2 linked regions of the Oryctolagus cuniculus genome follow. The protein of the gene in region 1 purifies or fractionates together with the protein of each later gene. This does not show direct contact. Links are inferred from orthologs where the notes say so. Each region holds a gene or a part of one and is shown on either strand. Other genes may lie near its edges.

Region 1 (3,249 bases):
AGGGGGTGCAAACGCCATCGGGGTGAGGGTAGTGCGGATCCCTGGAGCAGAGGGAGAGCTGGCCCGCAGTGTGCAGACGGGAGGGGAGGGGCGGAGTCTTTCCTAGAGGGGAGGGGACACGGCCCAGCCGCCCCGGCTCTGGGCCCGGTGTCGCGGACCCCAGCGGCTGACCCGCGGACGGGGAGGGAGCCACACCGCCGTCCTCACGCAAGCACCTGCCGCTGACCAAGGTCCTGGCGAGCCTGGCCTCCCAAGAACCTGGGCCACCGCTTGGGGGCGGGAGCCCCCAGGCGGCGCAGGGGTCTTCCAGACCAGGGCACCTGCTGGCGGGGGCCTCAGGCCGACCCCCCAGCCCTGAGCCCCTACTCTGCGGGCCGAGGCGCTGGCTCCGCGTCCTGGGTTCCCCGAGGAGGCCCCCCAGCCCCTCACGGCCTCCGCGGGAGGACACTTCACTGACACCTGCCCCGGCGCCCTCCCCCCAGCAGCAGGCGCACACGGCTCGGGGGCTCGGTTTATTGGAAACACGGGCACGGGGCGGGGGCGCGGGCGCGAAGCCGGGGCGGCGGCGCTTTCCGCTTGAAGAACTTCCACTGGACCTTGATGGCGAGCATCCAGTCGCTGACCGACAGCCGCCGACAAGCGGAGGTGCAGACGTGCGCCTGGCGGGGGCGCGCGGCGCCGGGGCCGCGCCGGGGCAGGGCCGGGGTCTGGGGGCGGGGCGGGGCGCGCGGCCGGGGCGGGGCCGGGGGGCGGGGCGCGGCGCGCGGCCGCGGCGGGGGCGGGGGCGGGGGCGCGGCGCCGCCGGCGGGGGCCGCGCCGCGGGCGCCCGCGCTTCACTTGCCGGCCTTCTGCGCCTTCTGCGCCGACTTGGTGACCTTGCCGGCGCCGCCGCTCTTCTTCTCCACGTTCTTGATGACGCCCACGGCCACCGTCTGCCGCATGTCGCGCACGGCGAAGCGGCCTGAGGAGGACGCTTGTCACGGGCCAGCGGCGGCGAGGCAGCGCGCAAGCGCACTGGGCGCCCGGGGCCCCGCCCCGCCCGCCGGCCCCGCCCTCCTGCAGGCCCCGCCCCGCCCGCTGGCCCCGCCCCTCCTGCAGACCTCGCCCGCAGGCCCCGCCCCGCCCCGGCGAGCACGTGCGCCGCGCCCCAGGCCACTGGCTGGACACGCCTGGCCGCACGCGTGGCGAAGGGCTCGCCCGGTTCCGACCGGAGCCCAGCGGCGCTCACCGAGGGGCGGGTACTGGGAGAAGCTCTCCACACACATGGGCTTCCCGGGCACCATCTCCACGATGGCCGCGTCCCCGGACTTGAGGGACTTGGGGTTGTCCTCCAGCTTCTTGCCCGAGCGCCGGTCGATCTTCTCCTTGAGCTCGGCGAACTTGCAGGCGATGTGGGCCGTGTGGCAGTCGATGACCGGCGAGTAGCCGGCGCTGATCTGGCCGGGGTGGTTCAGGATGATGACCTGCGGGCGGAGCGGCCGGCGGCGGTCAGGCTGCAGCCCCGAGTGCCCGCCACGGAGGAAGCTCGGGCTGCGGGGGACCCACGCAGGGCCCTCCTCGGGGGTCAGCAAAGCGCGGGGGACCCACGCAGGGCCCTCCTCGGGGGTCAGCAAAGCGCGGGGGACCGCGGGGGACCGCGCCCCTGCCCCGGGCCCCGGCAGAACTGGGGCGGACACACAAGGCCCGGCCTCGGTCCCGCGCTGCACGCCCCACGGGGAGCTGCGAGTGGATGAACGCCCCTCCCCCCGCCGCCCACCTGGGAGGTGAACTGCGCGGCCTCCTGCGGCGGGTCGGACTTGCTGTCCCCACACACGTTGCCCCGCCGGATGTCCTTCACGGACACGTTCTTGACGTTGAAGCCCACGTTGTCCCCGGGCAGCGCCTCGCTCAGCGCCTCATGGTGCATCTCCACCGACTTCACCTCCGTGGTGATGTTCACGGGGGCAAAGGTCACCACCATGCCGGGCCGCAGGATGCCGGTCTCCACGCGGCCCACGGGCACCGTGCCGATGCCTGCGCCAGGAAGAGGAGGCTCCAGGGAGCCGCCGTGCGCGGGAGGGGCTGTCGCCCTGCAGGGACCACTCCCCTCTCGGAGGACCCCTGCCTGGGGCTCTGCTGACCCCCTCTCCCACAGAGCAGCTGTGTGCCTGCGGGGCAGGCGCTGGGGCCTCCCAGGGCGGCGGGAGCATGAGACCCCCCCACACCCGCACACGGAGCCGCCTGTGCGCCCGGCCACAGCCGCCAGCTGGGAGTTGGGGGCGGGGCTCGGCCAGGCTCGCTCACCGCCAATCTTGTACACGTCCTGCAGGGGCAGGCGCAGCGGCTTGTCCGTGGGGCGCGTGGGGGGCAGGATGGTGTCCAGCGCCTCAAGCAGGGACACGCCGCTGGCATTGCCTTCCTTCCGCTCCACTTTCCAGCCCTTGAACCACGGCATCTGGCCAGGAGGAAGCGTGAGAGAGAGCCCTGAAGCATGAGAGAGGGCCCTGCCCCCCAACTCCAGGAATCAGGGTGGCTGGGGGCGGGGCTGGCAGGTGCAAAGCCCTCCCCTCCACCCCCAGCCCAGCCAGCTCCTCCCACCTCCGGTCCTGGCCGTCAGGTCCTGGGCAAGACAAATGACCAGAGTGGGAGGGGCAGAGTCAGGCCGGCGATGAACCCACCCAGCCACAGCCACACCCACAGCTCCCAGCCACTGACCCCTGCCTCCCGTGGCACTGTCCACCCCACTCCCCACTGTCCTTTGCCTCCACAGCCGAATCAGACCCCAGGGCCAGCAGAAAGCTCTGCGCAGGTGAGTGGGGCGGCCCTGAGGGCTGGGGCCTCCAGCGATGGGGTGGAGTCTGCCCCGCTCTGTCCCCAGTCCTGGGGCTCTGGGCTCCACGCCGCTCCCAGGGCCCCGGCTGCACACTCTCCACCTGCAGTGGGCAGCTGCAGGGCTGGCCAGAGCAAAGGGGCTATCCATCTGGGCCTGGGGCCCCCCGGGGCTTGAGTGAGCCTAGAAACAGGTCTCTGGTCCAAAACCATCACCTTGGGCCAAGTCAGAGCCCAGCTGACCGGCGGAGAGCCAGTCCTCAGCCCTGCAGGCCTGCTGCTGCTTCCCAGACCCAACCCTAACCCTGTTGCCCCTACCCAGAGTCCAGGAGCAGGACACTGGCCTGGGGAGACCACGAGAACCCCCCCAAGGGCACCTGGAGGCCAAGCAGGTGAGCCTGAGCCCAGCGGCCACGGCCCCCCAGCCAGAGAAGGGGCCCC
Region 2 (4,104 bases), on another chromosome or scaffold:
CACCAGTTCAAGTCCCAGCTCCCTGCTATGGCCTGGAAAAGTAGGGGAGGATGGCCAAGGCCCAAGGGCCCCTGCATCCACGTGGGAGACCTGGAAGAAGCTCCTGGGTCTTGGCTTTGGACCTGCTCAACCCTGGCCATTGCGGCTATTTAGGGAGTAAACCAGCAGATGGAAGATCTTTCTCCCTCTAACTCTGTTCTTCGAATAAGTGAATCTTAAAAAAAAAAAAAAAGAAAGAAATCTGGGTCTGGCCAGCGCCACAGCTCACTAGGTTAATCCTCCGCCTTGCGGCGCTGGCACACCGGGTTCTAGTCCTGGTCGGGGCGCTGGATTCTGTCCCGGTTGCCCCTCTTCCAGGCCAGCTCTCTGCTATGGCCAGGGAGTGAGTGCTTGGGCCCTGCACCCCATGGGAGAACAGGAGAAGTACCTGCCTCCTGCCATTGGATCAGCGCAGCGCGCCGGCCGCGGCGGCCATTGGAGGGTGAGCCAACGGCAAAGGAAGACCTTTCTCTCTGTCTCTCTCACTGTCCACTCTGCCTGTAAAAAAAAAAAAAAAAAAAAAAAAAAATCTGGGTCCACGTGGGTCGCAGTGACCACTTGCTACCTGCCACCGTGCACACTGGCAGGAAGCTAGAATCTGAACCAGAACCTGGACTTGAACTCAGACACTCCAATACGGGATGCAGGATGTGCCCCATGTGGTGTCTTAGCCTCCAGGCCAAGCGTCCACCCCAGCCCTTCCATTAATTCACCCTTCCACTAATTTGGTAACGTGAGATTCCAAAATGCATTTCACGTCGCCGTATTTCTGCTTTAATCCAGCCAACGCAGTACACACTTTCTCCGGGTATCTCGAAGATACCAACAAGTGACTTAGCTTGTGCCGTGGAGTGGTGACTGGGAATTAAGAAACAGCCACTGTGCAACAGCGTCCAGTAGACGATTTCCAATATGCAATGCAGACGCGAACTCTTCCCCGCTAAGAAACAGCGCAAGCCCTGCAGCGTGACCCTGGTCGGTGTGCAAATGAGGCTCCTTCCGTACTTACGGCAGGCTCAGGCCGCTCCCTGCGCGGCCGGTTCGCCGCTGCCCGCTGGGCGCCGCCCTCGCGGCCCGGCCCGAGGACCCGCACGGGGTGCCCGCGGCGGCGCCTGACGGGAGTGCCGTTCCTGGGGGGGCGTCTTCGCGCTCTGCGCCCCGCGCCCCGCGCCCCGCGCTCCGTGCAGTTCCTTGGGAGCGCGGCGCGCGGCGCGTCCTCCGGGGCAGGGTCGGGCAGCGCGGGGCGGCGCGCGCACACGCAGGCGGGGCGCGGCCGCCCCCGCCAGGACCGGCGGGCCCGGAAATGCTCGCTGTCACAAAGGGGGGAACACGTGGGCGCCGACTGCCGGGCCGGCGGTCGCAGGGAGCCGGGGTCGCCTAAAGAGCCGCCCACCGTCTCCGAGGCCCGCCCAACTTCTCCGCCCCGGCCTCCCAGTTGGGGAGGGGGATTCCCGGCCCTGCCCGACCACCTCCCTCCAGTACGTACACGCGGCGCGAACCCGCGTCCACCGGACGCCGAACCGCTATTGCGAACTCCCGCACTCCCGGAGACCCCTGCGATCCTGGGGAGACCTCCGCCCCTCTTCCCCCAGGCGGGCTCTCCTTGTCACTGTGAGAGCTAGCCCCTGGGCTCCTGAGGCCTGAGCATCTCGGGCGCCTGCGGCAAAGGAGCCACCCCCCCCCCCGAGGGCCCCCTCTCTCTTCAATATAGGGTCCCTGCGTCCCTCAGTCTACCCCCGTCTCTTTCTCCCAGGTTTCGCCATCTCGTCCGGGACCCGCATAACCATGTCCATCCTTTACGTCTCCCCTCACCCCGATGCCTTCCCCAGCCTCCGGGCCCTCATAGCTGCTCGCTATGGGGAGGCTGGAGAGGGACCAGGATGGGGAGGAGCCCACCCCCGAATCTGTCTCCAGCCGCCCCCAACCAGTAGGACGCCCTTTCCCCCACCCCGCCTGCCGGCCCTGGAGCAGGGGCCCGGTGGGCTGTGGGTGTGGGGGGCCACGGCTGTGTCTCAGCTGCTGTGGCCAGCGGGCCTCGGGGGCTCTGGGGGCAGCCAGGCGGCTGTCCTCGTCCAACAGTGGGTCAGCTACGCCGACACGGAGCTAATACCGGCTGCCTGTGGGGCTACGCTGCCGGCCCTGGGACTGCGAAGCCCAGCTCAGGACCCCCAGGTGAGTGGGGAGGAGAGGAGGGTGAGGGGGAAATTGGAGATGATCGTAATAGAGCCATCAGATACGGAAAAACGTTGATCAAGTCCCAGATTGTCACCGAGTGTGGTAGCCTTGGGCTGGCTTCTTAAACTCTGAGCCGGGTGCCTGATGTAATACCAGCCTCGCTGAGTTAATGCGATTAAAGGATGTGTCAGAGCACACAGTCCCATGCCAGGCAGCTTCGAAGTTTCCAGGTAGAAGTTTGTGAGTTGGATGAGAATAGATAGGGGTGACTGGGACTTGAGAGAAGCCTGGGTGAGGGAGAGGTGGCGGCTGCTGGAAGGAGATAAAGGAGAAATTAAATGAGGAGGAAGGGAGAGGAGAAACCCTACCAGTTATGTCTGTAAGTCCTTCCAGAGCAGGGCTGTGCCTACCCGCAGCTCCGCCTCCTGCTACGGCATGTGGCAGGCTCGTGGTGTTTCTCGAATGAATGAATTTGTGACACAGACCCTGGCGTCATCGCCCTGTCTAAAATAGTCTCTTTTTCCTAGAATTTCTTGTTCCCATCAGCCTGCTGTGTGTTTCTTTGTAAGAGTTAAGAAAGGGCTGTGTACTAAGTAGTTGCTCATGTGTGGTCCTCCCTGTAAGCTGGCAGGCAGGGCTCGGCCTGTCCACGTGGGTGCCTCATTCCCCAGACAGGCGCTTTAAAAGAAATTAAGCCCTGGACCTGGTGATTACTTTGCTGCCTCGGAGGATCTTTAATTCCTGTGCTTACTGTATGGCCCTGGCACATAGTACGTGTTCAATAGAGATTTGCTGGATGCGTCAGAAGTATTGATATGAGTGTGTGAGCGAAGGAGAGACTGACCTCAGAGGTGGTGATCTGCAGGAGTGGGTGTGGAGGGAGGCCTACCAGATCGGGTTAGGGGGTGGACCAGGCCTGTCTCATCCCCTTCCCCTTCCCGCAGGCTGCCCTGGGAGCCCTGGGCAGGGCCTTGAGCCCCTTGGAGGAGTGGCTCCGTCTGCACACCTACCTGGCTGGGGAGGCCCCCACGCTGGCTGACCTGGCAGCTGTCACAGCCCTGCTGCTGCCGTTCCGATATGTGAGTCACTGGGGCCTGGGGAGGAACCGAGAGCCCCTCTCTGACCTTGCTATAGGGTGGCTGAGATGGTCATTCCCCGTGTTAGGTCCTGGACCCCTCGGCCCGCCAGGTCTGGGGTAACGTGACCCGCTGGTTCCTCACGTGCGTCCAGCAGCCGGAATTCCGCGCCGTGTTGGGAGAAGTGGTTCTGTACTCGGGGGCCAGGCCCTTCTCTCAGCAGCCAGGTGAGGGAGGGCGGATGGCGGCTCCTCTCCGGCTGGCCGGGGCCTGCAACAGCCTGCGTGAGAGGCGGTAGCACTGTTACAGAGGGTCCCAGGGACTGAGTGTGACCTCCTGCACCTCTCTCCAGGCCCTGAGGTGGCTGCACCCCCAAAGACAGCTGCTCAGCTCAAGAAAGAGGCAAAGAAGCGGGAGAAGCTAGAAAAATTCCAACAGAAGCAGAAAATGCAGCAGCAGCAGCCCCCCCCAGGGGAGGTGAGAGGCTCAGGGTGCAGCTGGAGGAGGTGGTACCCGGGAGGGGTGGGGAGGGGTGGCTGATAGCCTGGGCCTTGTCGTATCCCACCCCCACCCCCACCCCCCGCAGAAGAAACCAAAACCAGAGAAGAAGGAGAAACGGGATCCTGGGGTCATCACCTATGACCTCCCAACCCCACCCGGAGAGAAGAAAGGTAACCCCACCCTCCAGCTGCTCCGTCCAAGCGTTTGCCCCTTCTTGCTCCGGCCTTGCGGCCTTGCGTGCATCACGCTGCTCAGTGAGGGTGTCCGTCTCGCGATGGGCGTGCTAGAAGCCTGTCCCCCTGCGGGCCCACCC

What was found. Proteins that work in one complex are often made in the same cells at the same time.
Region 2: the proteins of EEF1A2 (region 1) and VARS1 purify together in Homo sapiens (co-immunoprecipitation; 3 studies listed by BioGRID and IntAct, counting the BioPlex papers as one, with this or other methods). This does not show direct contact. The link is inferred for Oryctolagus cuniculus from reciprocal best matches to the Homo sapiens genes EEF1A2 and VARS1.

The regions. Positions count from the first base shown.
Region 1 is NC_091442.1:452,058-455,306, reverse strand, and holds the end of EEF1A2 (elongation factor 1-alpha 2), read right to left. Parts: intron 2,435-3,249; coding exon 2,284-2,434; intron 2,014-2,283; coding exon 1,757-2,013; intron 1,464-1,756; coding exon 1,229-1,463; intron 962-1,228; coding exon 834-961; 3' UTR 501-833; downstream 1-500. UniProt on the Homo sapiens protein: Translation elongation factor that catalyzes the GTP-dependent binding of aminoacyl-tRNA (aa-tRNA) to the A-site of ribosomes during the elongation phase of protein synthesis.
Region 2 is NC_091436.1:138,825,982-138,830,085, forward strand, and holds the start of VARS1 (valine--tRNA ligase), read left to right. Parts: upstream 1-1,304; 5' UTR 1,305-1,517; intron 1,518-1,792; 5' UTR 1,793-1,824; coding exon 1,825-2,211; intron 2,212-3,158; coding exon 3,159-3,293; intron 3,294-3,378; coding exon 3,379-3,517; intron 3,518-3,642; coding exon 3,643-3,767; intron 3,768-3,876; coding exon 3,877-3,961; intron 3,962-4,104. UniProt on the Homo sapiens protein: Catalyzes the attachment of valine to tRNA(Val).